Linked DNA regions of Arabidopsis thaliana. The protein of the gene in region 1 interacts with the protein of each later gene in a pairwise test. Each region holds a gene or a part of one and is shown on either strand. Other genes may lie near its edges.

Region 1 (6,022 bases):
TCAGATGGTTTATCACTATCTGGATATCATGGAAGAACTAGGTGAGTATGAGTATATATGGTTTCCTTTGACAAGATCCTGGTAAGGGAGAGACCAAGCCGCCTAAAAGTTTGGTTTCAATTGAGTCCAAGGATCGAAATTGTAGGGTATGTCTTAAGTACATCCACCAGATATATCAGAAATTTTACATCTTTACATTGTATGTTTAAAACAATTGCCTACTCCCCTTTGAGTCAATTTGGATTCTAAAGAAAAGGTGGAACACAAAAATGGTTCCCTCGGAACGAGTGTTGCAACACGAAAATATAGAGATCATTTCTAACACCAGTTCTACTGAATGTTTTAGGAGAAGGTAAAGCTGACAAATACTATGCTCACTCAATTGGACATAGCTGATTCTTCTCGACACATTAAAACAAATTCCATCTAAGAGAGTATGAATTGCGGATAAATCTCTCTCTAATTTCCGTGACACAGCAAATACTATCAGGAAAAGTAAGTGCAGTTCTGGGATTGACAGTAGAAGACGAACCTGAAGCCAAGATCCCATGTCCCTACTTATCTATGCCACCTAATCAGGGAACATACCAACACCGAGCAAACCACTAAATACTAATCACTCTTTCATTAGACTATGCCTAAGTTTCCAACAGCTCTAAAACCAACTCAAAATTCTACTCTACCTACATGGAGCCATACTTTAAGCAAATCTAATGCCAATCATTCCTAAAACTTGGGACCTTTAAGTATAATCCAAGCAAGAAGTCAGCACATCTTCATAGCCTCACACCGGGAAAGTAAATAGCAAAATAAACATGAAATAGGAAGCATATAAACCTCTTCTGCATTAGTACAGAAGCATATCATCCGCAACATCAATTCCAATACTCTCACAAATCTAATGTCCAGGAACAAACTATGTCAAAAGACATATCGACCAAATTGTATAAATAATTCTTAAGTAAGAACCTTAAAGATCAAGTGACAGATACAAACATTGAATCAAATTTCTTAAACACCTTTCTAAATTTATCCAAAAAAGCCTTTACACACCGTGCTATTCCCACCCAATTCAACCTCACATCAAAGAACTTATATTGCAGCCTTTTTTTGCTACTTGCTAACACAGCATCGGAAGTGATTCACGATCTATCAATATGGAATCAAAATATAACAAGAAGAGAGAAGAGAGTATAGATCAAGAAACAAGCGTACGCGATCAAGCCACGGTGCTCTTCTCCACCATCAGCAAGAGATACCACCAATGTAGAGCAGGCTCTAGTGGACCACAACACAAACAAAGCCGCAAGCACAAACCGAACCGGCCCTGCTCCCTGGGGAACGAACAATGACACCGCCGATAAAACCACCACCGGAAGCAAACAGTATCCGACCAAGCTCGTACACGTATGGAGATTAAGGTTCCCATTTCTACCAGCAAGCATGTTAAAGACGACGTATAGAAAGATAGAGGAGACGACGATCCATCCAAGTATGACACCGAACTGGATCTTACCAGCTAACAACTGAAATAAGCAAAGCGCAAGGTACAGAAAGATCGGACCAGATAGATCTGAATCTTTGTGAACAGCTTGGTTAATCCGAAAAGGATTGAGAATCGATCTAGTCTTCTTCCAGATTTGATCTGGATGGATACCGAGCTCGTCGAGTAATGGCTCCTCATCTTCAAACGAAGCTGAACCTCCACCAAAAGAAGAAGAGGAAGCGATTGTCCCGCCGAATGGTCCGGCAGGTGTAGCGGAAGACGCGGCTGCGGATCCAATGTCGAATGACATGAAAGGGATTGCGGAAGAAGAGGGACGCGGCGGTTGAAACGGTGTCGCTGGGAATCTTCGTTGCTGGACATTAGCACCGCCTGAAGATCCACCGGAGGGGAAAACTACAGGTGGAACTGCGAAATCCTTCGTCATCTTCTTTCCGAAATTGAGATCTCACCAAATCAGCAAAGAGATTCGAAATTAGGGTTTCAAGTTTGGATCAATGAGATGAATTTTTTAACCCAATTCACACGTTCGTGACGTTTCAGAGAAAATTCCTTTCTTTTTTTTGTTCTCTTCTTCTTCTTGACAGTGAAGAGACAACTTTAGAAGAAGGCATCTGAGGGTAGTTTCGTCATTCCGTCTAGTTAATGACGAAATATAACCAATAGGCTTCTTCGAAACTGGCATGGTGACGTATATCTTCTGATGATATTACCGTTATACCCTCTTTTATAAACGAAATTGGCCCAATGGGTCTGTTCGGCCCAGTAGTCATCCGTTTTAGTCTATAACGTGGCACGATGTAATTGGTTAAAGATTAGAAGACCGCCGGACTAAGATTTAACCAGCGGTGACTTCGACACTTATTAGCCGGTATATTTCTTCGCCGGAGCTTCCTCAACGATTATGGCCACCGATGGCGAGAGTATCTCGATGTCGTTGGCGGTGGCTACCTGCGTCGCGATGGCACTATTCTACGTTTTGATCCTTTACGTTCCCACCGTGATACTCCGTCTCCCGTCGGCTTCTTCTTACACCGAATTCATGATTCGGCGATTCATCTGCGCGGCCATTTGTACTGTAGCATCTCTCGTCTTCACAGCTTTTATACTTCCGGTAAGCTTCTTTGAGTACCGCCATTTCTCGATTTGAAGTTCATTCTCCGTTGATCTGTAACCAAATTAGGTCCAAATCTAGATGCATTTGGTGTTTTGATGAAAGTTAAACTAAAAGTAAAGAAATTTGATGTATTTGTAACTTTGTTGAGAGTTGAATTAGCTTTTACTAGTTGTTGTAGGTTCACACAATTTGTCTCTAAGAATGTAACACTCAAATATTGGTGACTATGTTGTGTTTGGTACAATTCAACGCTAGTTACAGGAATCTCTGAAACTTGTCTTCCTTTTTTGCTTGAGTAATGTTAGATAAAAAGCTGGGAGGCCTCTTATATACTTGGAGTTTATGGCATAAGGAAAGATCATCTGGTAAGTTCTTTGTCTCAATTTGTTTACTCGTAGCTTATTGTACACTATTCATATTAAAATGGTTATGTTTTGTGATATGGAACAGTGGCAAGGAGTGGTGTATCCTCTTCTATTGACCTCGCTCGTTTATGCTGGGTCTTTGGTGTTGAAGTTGTTTACTCTCCTGGAATCATGGAAGGAAAATGGCGGAGGATGTAGTTCCTTTAATTACATCAGAAGCTTTTTCCAAACAATCCCTGCTTCGGTATTGACAAGTGCTTCTAATGTTTCCGTTTGGCGCAATTTTATCGTGGTAATCATATGTTTGCCATCTCTGTGTGCTTATCTTGTCAATTCTTTATTGAAATTGCATAAGGCATTGCTTGCTAATTGTCTGAGGACTATATGCATCAGTTTGGTGTATAAGTAAGTTCTAAATCGAACAAGTTATAATCTGTTAGAGCTGGCGTTTCTTATGATTTGCAGGCACCAGTAACTGAGGAGCTGGTTTTCCGATCATGTATGATACCTTTGCTTCTGTGTGCTGGGTTTAGGATTAACACTGCCATCTTTCTGTGCCCAGTTCTCTTTAGCTTGGGTTTGTTTCTTTCTCTCTCTCTCTCTCTCTGTGAATAACAGTTTACAACTCGAGTGAAAAGAAAATTACTGGATTTGTCTGACTTTTATATGTTTTGTGTAGCTCACTTAAACCATTTTAGAGAGATGTACATCAGGCATAACCGCAGCTATCTCCGGGCTTCACTTATTGTTGGTATGTCTTTGCCATCCATAATCATAATAATATTGTTTGTTGATCAGTCCTGAGCTTCACTTGTCCGTTGATCAGGTCTTCAGCTTGGCTACACAGTCATTTTTGGTGCATATGCATCGTTTCTCTTCATCAGAACCGGTAACATTCCAGGCATTTATATATCTTATACATGTAAAAGCCTTTCTAATGGATGATTGTCTCCTGCATTGTGTAAATTTTACAGGACATCTTGCTGCTCCTTTGTTTGCTCATATATTTTGCAACTACATGGGATTGCCTGTGCTATACGCAAATGGAAAAGGTAAGACATAAAGTTCAAGGTTGTTAACAAATGCAAATGCAAAAGAATAAGCTAAACATGGTTATGGTTCTTCTCTCAGGTTTGGTGAGTGCAGCGTTCTTAGGCGGTGTGGTTGGGTTCGTCTTACTTCTCTTTCCTTTAACAAAGCCTCTCATGTACAACGATAGTACCAACGATTGTCCGTGTTGGCTTGGCTATTGTTTGTGGAATTGACACTTCTCCAAGTTTTTTTTTATATATCATCATGTCTTAGAATCTATTTTTTGACACAATATTGGAATTATGGTCTTTTACTGCAAGCTAATGTTTCTTGATAGTTTATGTAGTTTTTTCCTTGTAAATATATAATAATAATAATAATTGGTTCAAGTCTCCAAAATTAGTGTTGGCTAATTGTCCATTTTTTTCCGGTATTATCCCTAATGATTCTCTTGCTATCCTAGGAGGGACAGGAAGAAGGATGATCTACATCCCCAAGTCTAACCTAAACTATATTGTCCAATGTCAACACGCCAAAATTCATTTGATTTATATATAAAAATAGAGAAACAATGATTAGAAATTGAACATAGGTCCATAATCTTACATCAGAGATTCAGAAGATGATGTCTTGCTTGATGATCATCCAAAGAGATTTTGGGGGTAATCATCAAACGGATATAATTTTCTGAAAATTATATTTCAAAGTTGACTTTCAAAGTCTGAGTTTATGATGATGATTTTCACTTAGGAGTTACGAAAATTATGTTTCTAGGATTCGTAGGTCTCTCAGTAATTTTCTCACCACCACTTGATTACTATGTCATATTCCTACGAAATTTGAAGCTTGGATAGTTGAATTTATGGTCAATAAATTATCTGTACACTACACATATATTGTGTTTGTGTGAAGTAAACGGTGATTTAACGGGAGAGGATCTCTTCATAAAGAAGATGTGGTTGATTATGCTTGCATATAACAGAATTTGTTGAACCGGAAAATCATCCTCGACAAAACCAATATGCAGTAATCTACTCTAAAATGTATTTTACCCAAACTATACACTACTACTATCTAGTGAGATTCATTACTATTGTTTATGTGGATAGTTTTAAAAAGATGAAGACCAATACTATTATGATCTATTCATAAATCCTATTCTTATTTTATAGTTGTAAGTTGAGCTTTTATAATAGAGAGCATAAATATTGCTGGTATTTGAACTAATACAAACCGTTAAAAAAAGGGAACTAATACAAAAAGAAAAATCAACTAAATTTTCACTAATACTAAAAATTTGCAAAATTATGTTAATTTACGTTTATTTATTTATATTATAAATAAGTGAGTAAAATTCAAAATATTTATTTACCTTACATTTTAAATTTATCATCGCAAAATACACCACAAAATTTCATTAAGAAATATTTGTTTTTTTGTAAAGGAGGTAATAAATGACGTTTTAATATGATACAGTCAATAGGATACAACTTTGATCACGTGATTTAAAATTGGTGGTAAACCTATGTTCTCCTAAACACTTTTTCGTATCTTCTGATATCCTTATGGACCTTATCACTACTTTATCCATATATAAATTTCAATAATTAAAAGAAAACAACCACTTTACAAATTTGTTAATATCAATTACATGGTACCTTGAAAATAAATCTGGTCGAGATTAGAAAACTCTTAACTAACATAACTGAATAATAAAAGTCACATTTTCCAATCTTATTGTTCACAATTTGTTATTTCAAGACCATGAAATTTATAAAAGATAAAGGAAAATGTAGAACCCAATAATAAAAGAGATAAATAAATAATTTAAAGATACTGGTTGTTTAAGAGAAGAGCAGAAGGTACAATGTAGTCCCAGAATCCACCATGTCCTAAACAACCAAACCCCACATGAAAAGGCAAAATAGAAAATCTAATTAACATATAAATGGAAACAAAAGTAAAATATCCCTCAGAAGATAGGCCAGAGAGCATACAACACTC
Region 2 (5,951 bases), on another chromosome or scaffold:
TTTCAATCTTTATTTGCTAATTGACGATAATTTATTAATTTGATTTATTTTGTTCTTCTACATTTCGATTTAAATATTATAACGCTAGTGCTACTGTGCTATATATGGATTAACAAGCTCTTAGAGCATTTACATTGGTGGGCTCTTGATATAATTTTTAGAGATATTAAAATTTAAATTTAATATTTAATTGGTAAAATAGTTAAGATTTGACTCTTATATAAGAGACAAAATACACTTTTAAAAAATTTTTTTTTATTAAAACTCTTAATTTCAAAATAAATTATAAAATTATTGTTAAAAATATTTGCTAAAAGCTCACCAATGTGGTTGCTCTTAGGTTACCGACTAGGATATTGGTTCTCTCGACCAAGTATCTTGATTTTTGTGTGTGGTTTCATGCTCTCCAGTCTCCAATAAGATAATGACTAAATATACAACTTTTTCTTAAAACATAATTAATAAGAAAGAAAGAGTAACGAAAAATAGAAATTAACCTCATACATAATAATTGTGATATACGTATACCCTAGTCATGTCTCGAAAGCTCGTTATTGTAAAAAAAGTAGAAACACTCTCTTTAGACCAGAGTCTTTAGAAGATAAGATACTTTTTTAACGTGAAACCAAAACCCTTCTTTCCATAAACTCGTCTCAAATTTTTTGGTTTATTAGGTTTTGGAAATATCTGAGAGTGCTCTGCTCGTACGTTGATTGTGAACTTGATCTCAACTTAATTTGCTTTCTATGAATGCGATTTCGTGTTAACTGGTCTAGAAATTTCTACGACTCATGTTGCAGAACGCGGTTTAATTTTGATTTGTTTTCTTAGACCTTAGCTAATAAATACCGTGTCTTTGTCTCTTTGTTCTGTTGATCAATTTAGGGACCAATGGAAGATTTGATAAGCCAATTGCCCAATGAGTTGCTGCAAGAGATACTCTTGAATCTTCCCACGAGTGAGTCTGTTAGGACAAGTGTCTTACCGACAAGATGGAGAAATCTCTGGCAAAGTGTTCCTGGTTTGTACCTAATTTCTCGACAGATTCTTAAATTTGTAAACTTGCGGTTAGAATATGTAATTCTGGATGATTTTGATAGTTGTGAGTCTTTCTATCTACCTCACCTTGAGGTTATGCATTTAGGGTTTCGCAGTACACCGAGTGATGTGGTTCTAGAGATGCTTATCTCGTGCTCTCCTGTTCTTCAAGTCTTGAGCATTTGTGATGTTGGAGTTGACTTTTTGAAAGTGCGATCTCAGACGTTAAGGAGCTTGAGTCTATGGACATTTATCTTTAAGGGAGAAAATGATGATGTCTCCTTGGGTGATGATGGAGAATCTGGACTTGTGATTGACACTCCTAGCTTAGAGTTTCTGCGTATCAGAGATTTTCCATTGGAAGACTTCAGAGTGGAAAGTGTTATTTCTTCTATCAAGATGTGTATCGATGTACGGTTTTATGGGGAGATGACTTTTCAAACACGCAAACTTTGCACAAGTTTTTTGCTGAGTTCTCGGAGGTCACAGATCTTAGCATCTCTGGCCATACTCTAGATGCATGTATTTGTTCTTACCAAGTGTTGGTTCTTGACAGGGAACCTATGCTTACACAAAACTGCAACAACTGCCTGAATTCAAGAACTTGACCCGTTTGTACGCTTTTCTCCATACCGACTATTCAGAGATGTTGCCTATATATCTCTCCAGCAGTCCCAACCTAAAATCTATTGACTTGGTAATGATTCCTTCTCTTGGTATTGAGAGTAGCGAGTGACTATATATATTATACATGTCTTATGGTGTTTTCCTTTGTAGGAGCTTCATGGTTATCCAAAGATGGAGGAAATTGCAAGCTCACCAGTGCCAAAATGTCTCCAAACATCCATTGAGAATGTCAAAATAAAAATGACGCCCAAGGCTGACCAAGAGAAAAGCCGAAAAGCTGAAACCGAGGTTGCTAACTACATCTTAGAGAATGCAACACTTCTGAAGCTCACTCTATGGTTAGATGATGAAGAAGAAGACGAGTCTAGCAGCGTCCTTGAGAAAATTCTCACCTTTCAAAATTACTCTTTTGTAGAGGTGAAGATAGGTCGAGAAGCATCGAAATTTCGCCTAGGTTATACATTTGATGAAGCTAAGCACTTTAGTCGTCGTTTTCTTTAAATCTCTTATGATCAATCTAATTAGCCCTTTTGGTCGTGGTCAGGATTTAAAGAAAGTTGTTTCTATCACTTGAAAATTCTCCACTAACTTGATGAGAATATGTGTGATGGAATCGATCTAGCGAACATATACTAATCAAAAGGACATGCCTAAAATGGGACCCTCTTTGCACAAAAGAAGTTTCAAGATATTATTATACCCACAAAACCAAATCTTCTTTAATCATGTCTAAATCATTTTAGGCACTCTTAACAAAACAATAATGTTATCATCCAATTTGTCTACACTTTGGTATTGATTCGTTACAAGTGAATGTTCTAGACCACGTTTGTTGATCTATTATGTAGTTTTGTATTCATCCTAGCTACATTTATATATATCCACTTATTTCTTAACTACGGTATGCATTATACATGTTTGTATTAATGTCGCCGATAAAAGTTTCGGACCCATAGTGATGAATAATCATTCTCGATTATTATTGTTAAATAAAACACTACAAGGAATAAGATAGATCAAAAACGAAAGCTCCTTTGAAAACAATCTCAAAGAACAAGAAAATATGAGAAGACTCTTTCTCTTCTCTCTCCTCTTTTTATTCTTTTACTCATCCTCCTCCTCAAGATCTTCATCAGAATCTCACATCTTCATCTACGGAGGATGTTCACCGGAAAAATACACACCAAACACACCTTTTGAGTCAAACCGCGACACTTTCCTCTCCTCTGTCGTCACTTCCTCCTCTGACGCGTCCTTCAACAGCTTTGCCGTCGGCAACGACTCCTCCTCCTCCTCATCCTCTTCCGCCGTCTTCGGCCTCTATCAATGCCGTGACGATCTCCGATCATCAGACTGCTCAAAATGCATCCAAACCTCAGTCGATCAAATCACTCTCATTTGTCCTTACTCTTACGGCGCTTCTCTCCAGCTCGAAGGCTGCTTCTTACGTTACGAAACAAACGATTTTCTAGGGAAACCAGACACAAGTCTTAGGTACAAGAAGTGTAGTTCCAAGAGCGTTGAGAATGACTACGATTTCTTTAAGCGGAGAGACGATGTGTTGTCGGATCTTGAGTCGACTCAACTCGGTTACAAAGTTAGCCGGTCCGGTTTAGTCGAAGGTTATGCTCAGTGTGTTGGTGACTTGAGTCCTAGTGACTGTACGGCTTGTCTTGCCGAGTCTGTCGGAAAATTAAAGAATCTTTGTGGCTCGGCGGTTGCAGCTGAGGTTTACTTGGCTCAGTGCTATGCTCGTTATTGGGGCTCTGGTTACTATGACTTCTCTTCAGGTCAGTCCATAAATTAAAATCTTTATTTCATTTATTAGCTATTGCTCTAATTTACGTAAGTTCTTTAATTATATTCGTGAATCATGCTTAGTGCCATGATAATATAATTGAAAATTGTAGTAATGAACTGTATAGAAATGTGTGAGAATTTGACAAAATTTAAATTTCCGCCGCTTATAATTGAGAAAATCACAAGTCTAGTCGCTCCTTGGTAGCACGAGAAAGTTGAAGAAATCATAAAATTTTCGTTGCTTTTTTTTTTTTGTAATTTCCACTGGAAAGACACCATTAAGTATTGAATAAAATAGAATTAATCTTTTGAATCATTCGTTGGAAAATTCGAGTATCATGATTATAATATCATTGGTCAGAAAAGAATGTTTTTGCAATATATTATTCTTTTCTTTATAGGCATAGCCACCCATGTCCCCATTTTCAACTTTATTTTATATATTCTTTATAGCTTGATCAATATCACATAGTCCAAAAGTCATTGCATCTTAGAAAATCTAATTCTTAGCTTGATACTATATTGTCCTTATCTTATGTACTTTAATTTGTCACATACAATATTAAGATCTTTTTAAATTTGATCTAATTTTCGTTATTAAGATCCAACGAATGGAGATCACGTGGGGAAATCAATCGCGATCATCGTAGGAGTCATTGCTGGATTCGCAATTCTTGTTGTTCTCCTCTCCCTTTGTAGAAACTCCATGCGTAAGTCTATACTTACTTGCCTAATCTTCACATGATTAAGATTTAAGATCAAATCACTCATTTTTAGTATATATTTAGAAATAAGTATCATGATCTCATAATTTTTCTTATCTGATTTGCAGATTGATATAATGAAAGGCATGATTCGGGATACAAGATTCTAGGGACCTGTTTTTTTTTTTTTGAACTCTCTTGTATTCCACTATTCCTTTTATTTTGTAGGAGGAACACATCCGTTACCGTTCCTTGCTGAAATTTTTGGTTTATCAAAAGGAAAACTATTAGTGACTGATGATATAATGATTTTTAGCTTTGAGGTATTAAATATTTGTATAGTGTGACCCGTATTGTCTGCCTTAAAAAGATGCTAACTTTATTCCATTAACTAGTTTTAGACTAAAATCCACTTTCCTTAGCAGGCGCAATTATTCGATACTCATACTTAGATAAGTAGATTATCATTTCCGGAGAACAACGTGATTCGATCGATTGAGTATCATTAAACTTTAAAAGGTTCTGCCGGCAAAAAAAAAAAAGAAGAAGGCTTATAAGACTTGAGAGGTTCCATTCAATCAATTCTTTGGTTTTCTACGATCCGGATCTACCCGGTTCTCATGGGTTTCACCACATATTCCATTGAGCCATTAAATTATTATGGACTGGGCCTCGGCCTACTAAGCTTCTAAGCCGTGTAACATATCTAAAAGACTAAAACATTTTCCATGCAACCATTCCTTTTTTTTTGTATTTTTTTAAAAATTAATTCAAGAAATTCTTTTACCAAAAACATATAAACCCATGACAAAAATAGTAATTTTCACTAATGTTACAACATATTACTCCAACAAAATTATTACTTTATATATTATTCTATTAAAATATAACTGATCATTCATGGATTTTGTTTTCTTTTCTTTTTGACTCCAAATCCTGAAAATTTCTTTTATTTATATATATATATATATATATATATATATATATATATATATCTTATCCATCGTAAATTCGTAATAATGGGATTATGATTATATATCACTATACCAGTATATAAAAATTTAGGTTTAATCCAGTATATATAGTAGTCTCTCAGCTCTTGAAGATAATAAACTTATGATGAAGAAGAACAACTTAAGGTTGTGTTCTTGACACATAGACGTATACGTTTACTCACTTTGATACAGAGCGTTGCACTAATTTACAACCTGAAATGTATAACGTAATTAATGAAGTTAGTCTCATATGCATGGGCCATCAATAATCATATAAACAAAAGCTTACACATACTCTCACACGTGCCTTATCTCTCTCTCCATCTGTTAGATTCCTCGCCACCATCTTCATCTACATTTCTACGACAAGTTCCATTCTTCGTTTGCTGTTAAATACACAACAACATCAATAATTATTTACTTAAAACGCATTTCAAGAAAATTACTAAACACTACAACAATCTTATAATAACATTTACTAAAAATGTCCACGTTTGTAAAAGTCACCGACTTAATCACTATCATGTTCTTTCTAGCCATTGCTGCCGTCATAACCGCCTCAAACACAGCCGAGTTGGATGTACTTGAAATGGCTAGAACTGCTGTGGTTGAAGCCAAGACTAGTTTTGGGTCAATGGCTGTGACTGAGGCAACTAGTGAAGTTGCTGGTAGTTATTATAAATTGGGGTTAAGTGAATGCGAGAAGCTCTACGATGAGAGTGAAGCTAGGCTATCGAAACTGGTCGTAGATCATGAGAATTTCACCGTTGAAGATGTTAGAACGTGG
Region 3 (5,096 bases), on another chromosome or scaffold:
TAACATCACAAAACAGCTCAAGCTCAATGCACAAAATACAGATTGCATCAATGAAGATGATCATACATAAGGGGAATGGAAACGAACCATCTTTGGCTAAGTCATGCTCATTAGGAATATGACCAACATGAATATAAAAGGAGACAGTTTCAGGAGTAGAATAAGGATTGTGGAAACAAAATTTGTACATTCCACTTTTTGGAGCCTTAAACTCAAACTTATCTCCAGATGTTCCCTTTAAAGTCTGTACAATGTTCCCAGCTGGTGACGTCACCTACACAAACACAATCCAATGAATCAATCAACACATTAACCCTAACCAAAATCCAATCCAATCCAATCAAAGATAGCAAATTTCCACAATCCCAACCAAACCCTAAATTGTCACATCCTTACAAAGATCAGATCAGGTCAAAATTAAGCATGAGAAACACCAATTTCACGATAAATCAAACATTGGGATTATCGAAGGAAACGTATCAAAGTTAAGAACTTTTGGGGTAAAAAGGTAAATTGAAAGATCGCTAACCGTGAAATCCAAACCAGGATGATCGGATCCCCAGAAGATATCATGATCGACGACGACGAAGTTACCGGAAACAGTGTCGCCTTCGTAAAGGACGTACTCTTGGACACATTCTTCGTCGTTCACCGTTACAGAGAGAGATGAGATTTGATTGATTGAATTCAATAGAATTAGACCTATCAATACAAAGACATGGATCTTCGCTTGTCGTCTCTCCATCTTTTTTTTTAGATCTTCTTCGATCAAAAAAATTCAGTTTGTTTTCTCGAGAGAATTCGCCGAGTAGAGGAAGAAGAAGAAGACAAAGAGGATTTTATTGCGACTTAGATTACCAAACCGGAAATTAAAACCGGTTTATGACGACACGGGGAGATTTTATTGGTCAACGGCTTTTGGTCATTAAAGAGAGTTAGAGAAAAATATTACTAATTTTAATGTAAGTAAAATACGATCTAAATTATGATTAAATTGATAAAATTTTACTTCAAAAAGTGTTTCAGTGATGTTTGTTTTTACAAAAAATTTTTGATTTTTGTATATATATTGGTTAATGACTTAATGTACGTTTTGGAAGTTTTTTTTATCTACGCCATTGATATGTGTTAAAAAGAATTGACTGTTATGTATGCATAATAATGTCAAGGTAGTTTTTATTTATTTGGTCAATAATGTCAAAGTACTTATATTCTAAGAAATCATTATTTCCGGGAACAAAATCTAAAGAATCATATGTTTTCTTCTTTGTGTTACCATGTAAAAGTGAATCCTTCCAAATTTCCTTAGGTTGAGAATGACAATTCTTCTTTCATATGTTATCAAAGACTAAAATGATCAGAATGTCAATTTGCAGATTTGGTCAACACTACATTAGAAACGAACATATATGAGCGAAAGACATGATTTGGTTAGGGAAGCTAGAGTTGATGGGCCTAATGAGCCCTATACGGCCCGTTATGAGATACGTATGACTGTAAGAGTAAATAGTCTTTTTTTTCTTAACAGTAAATAATCTTTATCTCCATTTAATTGTAAAGTTATTGACATTTTGAAACGACCGTAAATATTACCAAAAAACTGACGGAGTTAGGATCGGCCACGTAGAAAGGGACAAAGAGAGAACAGTCACGGACTCGGCCAGACTAAGTATGGGCCTGTCTGAATCCAAACTCAGCTAAGTTCCAAAAGCATAAAGAGAGATGTGTAATGAAATGAACGTATTCTAGAAACGAAAGCAATGTTATGCTTTGTTTTTGAGCCACATGTTTTTGGGAGATGGAGAGAATCTTTTTTACGTTTTTAACCTAACCCACTTGGCACTTGGCCAAAAAAGTGAGAAGAAACTGTGGCGAATGAGTAGGCCACGCCATGGACTTTGTTCCTTGTCCTTCAAAAGTTAAATTTATGTTATGCGTGGGGACAATCTAAGCAACGTGGTTCCTTTAAATATCGCAGCTTCCTCTTTTACACTTTTGGAGCCTACGTGTTTTGTTTTGGACCGGCCAAATACACGAGTCAGTCAGTTTAGAAATAATTTGGATGTCCAAAAATCTTGGAGATCCAAATAAAATAATTAGCATGTTTTAGTTCATAAGAATATGAAATGTAGATAAACTGTCCATATTAATTTTTCCATAGAATTGGCTTTTTATCGAGGTGATGTACTTAATGACTTTGTTGATTACTACTCGTATAACAATAAAGAATATGATACTATGTGAGACTTATAATGAATTTGGTGTGTGTTAATTAATCCAGTTGAAACAGTTTAATAACAAATCAGAATAAAAATTGTAGTAAGAAAATTTGAACGCTGATCCTTCAACCTAGATAGTGAACCTTTCAAATACTATATGATTCACGTGTAATGTTTTTGACCGTTGGTTATTTTTGTGTGAACTATATTAACTTATCAATATCGAAAGGCTAAATAAGTAAATAACTAAAAGAAAGTTCAGGAAACAACTCGACCTAATGACCTATCATTTCTGATCACCCGTCCTATAAATACATACGTAAGATCATTCGTTACTCATATCAAGCTTCTACACACGATCTAGCTTAAAGTTCTGTAACCTAAGCGATAATCACTTAGCTACTCCAAGTTTCTTCTTAATTTCTCTCACACTAGTAGTTCTAAGCTTTAGAAATGGCAACAGCATCGTTCAACATGCAATCAGTCTTCGCCGGTGGATTAACCACTCGCAAGATCAACACCAACAAGCTTTTCTCCGCCGGTAGCTTCCCTAACCTCAAGAGGAATTATCCGGTGGGAGTGAGATGCATGGCTGAGGTACGTTATTCTCCACTTCCCTGATACAACGGCCATTCATCATGTGACTATGAAATCCTGACCGTCTGATTATTTGACTTTTTCAGGGAGGACCCACGAATGAAGACTCTTCACCAGCACCATCTACCTCGGCCGCTCAGCCGTTGCCGAAGTCACCATCTCCTCCTCCTCCTATGAAACCTAAGGTATAATTTTAGAAGTTTTGATAAACAAGAATTTGTATTTTAATTAATCGGGTCTTAGATATTAAGAACATACAATCTTGAAAATTCATTAAACAAGCTTTATTTGTGAATCTTTGTTAATAACTTTTGGGGTGGTGAATATAGGTGAGCACAAAGTTTAGCGACTTGCTAGCGTTTAGCGGTCCAGCACCAGAGAGGATTAACGGACGTTTAGCGATGGTTGGATTCGTTGCGGCGTTGGCTGTCGAGCTATCCAAGGGTGAAAACGTTTTAGCTCAGATCTCCGACGGTGGCGTCTCATGGTTCCTCGGTACAACAGCGATCTTGACACTTGCGTCGCTTGTGCCGCTTTTCAAGGGCATAAGCGTTGAGTCCAAGTCCAAAGGTATCATGACGTCAGACGCTGAGCTTTGGAACGGACGTTTCGCGATGCTCGGTTTGGTCGCGTTGGCGTTCACTGAGTTCGTCAAAGGTGGGACACTCGTCTAAGGAAAAGAGAGCACGTTATGGGGAGGATGTTTTAATACGATTTTGCCCATGTAATTTCTCTGTAAAGTAATCTGTGTTAGGCCTACTGTGTGTTTTATACATGTGTACTAAGTGACATTTTGAAACTTCGGGTTAAAAACACTTTAAAATTAGTGGTGTTCTATAAAGCTCTACGCCTTCCAAAAACTTTCAGAAATTATAACCATACAATATGTGACTTACAAGGCCAAATTATATTAATGGCCTGTCATCATAATTGCGAACCTAACAAATAACAATACACGATTTCACCTACTATCGAGTTTTACATTTAATGCTCATCTTATAAAAAGAAAAAAAGAAAAAAAATGTTAAGAAAATTCACATCTTTCATTTGCCGACGAAACAAGTGGTGAGTGATCCACTATAGATGATATATAATTCGAACAAATGGTGGATTCAGAAAAGTCTTAGTTAAAAATAAAATCAATATCATTAAGCGTAACTACTAAAATAAAAATACACAAAATATCAAAGAATCTTCAAACTGAATGAATCTCAAATCTTAATGCTGGGGAAGATAATAAATTTACCAACTCTAATTGCCATTTGAATAGATCATATACCGATAGATCTTATATATGTTTAGACATCACTTAAATATCAAGCAAAAAAAAAATTAGTGTATGAAAATCTAAGAATATTTTATCCTGAATACATAAAAAAAAAGGTATATGTAAACACAAACATAATTTACGTTTGAAATAATAAAATACTTTTTCGGTCATCGGAAAAACAGTACATAGAGAGAGGACCAGTGGACAGTGATTAACATTTAAAAAGAAACGAGCATGCGTGAAGTAAAGTAAATGGGCCATATTCCAAATAATTGGGCCAATGGCTTCATTGGAGATCCCTCATTTCCTAAGTCCAGTTAGAAAATATTGATTCTTTACATGTATGCAGGGAAAATAGCTTCCATTGGTTTAGTTATGGATTGTTCTCTTTTGTATAACAATTCTCTTACTAAATGACTTAAGATTATTTTGTTTATACGTTTCACGTGAGATCATAAAAGAGTTTGTTATCAGTAGAATTTATAAGTAATCAAAAGAAAAGTGTGAATCTTATATGGGCAAAATTCAATAAAAAGCCTCTAAAAATGTTATCTAGCAATGAAGTGACTCAGTGAGTCATGAAAAAAAACAGCAGAGCACGTGTATACGCAAATCTTAAATCAACAGACAGAATTTACGTGACTCCCACTTACCAATGTCGTTTGCTTTCTTTTTTTCTTTTTGTCCATTCCTTCTTTCTGCTATTGTTTTTTTTTTTTTTCTTTTTCAAAGGATTTTATAAGTATATTAATAGATTCATGATCTAGTAGTGTATATAACTAGATTTTATTCTCTTAACTAGGTTAATTTATTCATATTTATTACTATTCTAAATGTATGTGGTTCACTATTATACTTTCTATACGTATTAGGGTTTATTTTGTAGATTACCTTTTTTGGAAGGTTTACTCTACACAACAATAAGATTCGATGACAAACATGTAATAAGAGTTTTTTGGCGTGTGATTTAATTAACTAGTATGATATCATGTAATTAAAAAACATATGTG

What was found. The genes of interacting proteins can lie anywhere in the genome.
Region 2: the proteins of FACE2 (region 1) and PDLP8 interact in a protein complementation assay, tested with the Arabidopsis thaliana proteins (one large-scale study listed by BioGRID).
Region 3: the proteins of FACE2 (region 1) and ELIP1 interact in a protein complementation assay, tested with the Arabidopsis thaliana proteins (one large-scale study listed by BioGRID).

What each region holds. Positions count from the first base shown.
Region 1 is NC_003071.7:15,212,199-15,218,220, forward strand, and holds FACE2 (farnesylated protein-converting enzyme 2), read left to right. Parts: upstream 1-2,187; 5' UTR 2,188-2,408; coding exon 2,409-2,618; intron 2,619-2,926; coding exon 2,927-2,986; intron 2,987-3,071; coding exon 3,072-3,278; intron 3,279-3,451; coding exon 3,452-3,563; intron 3,564-3,665; coding exon 3,666-3,737; intron 3,738-3,812; coding exon 3,813-3,875; coding exon of another isoform or gene 3,876-3,931; exon of another isoform or gene 3,932-3,960; coding exon 3,961-4,038; intron 4,039-4,117; coding exon 4,118-4,251; 3' UTR 4,252-4,415; downstream 4,416-6,022. Other genes in the region: AT2G36300 (Integral membrane Yip1 family protein), read right to left, coding at 1,164-1,931. UniProt on the Arabidopsis thaliana protein: Protease involved in the processing of a variety of prenylated proteins containing the C-terminal CAAX motif, where C is a cysteine modified with an isoprenoid lipid, A is an aliphatic amino acid and X is any C-terminal amino acid.
Region 2 is NC_003074.8:22,439,307-22,445,257, forward strand, and holds PDLP8 (plasmodesmata-located protein 8), read left to right. Parts: upstream 1-2,464; 5' UTR 2,465-2,728; coding exon 2,729-3,455; coding exon of another isoform or gene 3,456-3,472; exon of another isoform or gene 3,473-4,067; coding exon 4,068-4,210; 3' UTR 4,211-4,297; coding exon of another isoform or gene 4,298-4,302; 3' UTR 4,303-4,568; downstream 4,569-5,951. Other genes in the region: AT3G60710 (F-box family protein), read left to right, coding at 892-1,067, 1,155-1,449, 1,595-1,735, 1,816-2,166; AT3G60730 (Plant invertase/pectin methylesterase inhibitor superfamily), read left to right, coding at 5,649-5,951. UniProt on the Arabidopsis thaliana protein: Modulates cell-to-cell trafficking.
Region 3 is NC_003074.8:8,083,022-8,088,117, reverse strand, and holds ELIP1 (Chlorophyll A-B binding family protein), read left to right. Parts: upstream 1-2,448; 5' UTR 2,449-2,672; coding exon 2,673-2,816; intron 2,817-2,902; coding exon 2,903-3,001; intron 3,002-3,145; coding exon 3,146-3,490; 3' UTR 3,491-3,713; downstream 3,714-5,096. Other genes in the region: AT3G22845 (emp24/gp25L/p24 family/GOLD family protein), read right to left, coding at 88-274, 530-745. UniProt on the Arabidopsis thaliana protein: Prevents excess accumulation of free chlorophyll by inhibiting the entire chlorophyll biosynthesis pathway (e.g. 5-aminolevulinate synthesis and Mg-protoporphyrin IX chelatase activity), and hence prevent photooxidative stress.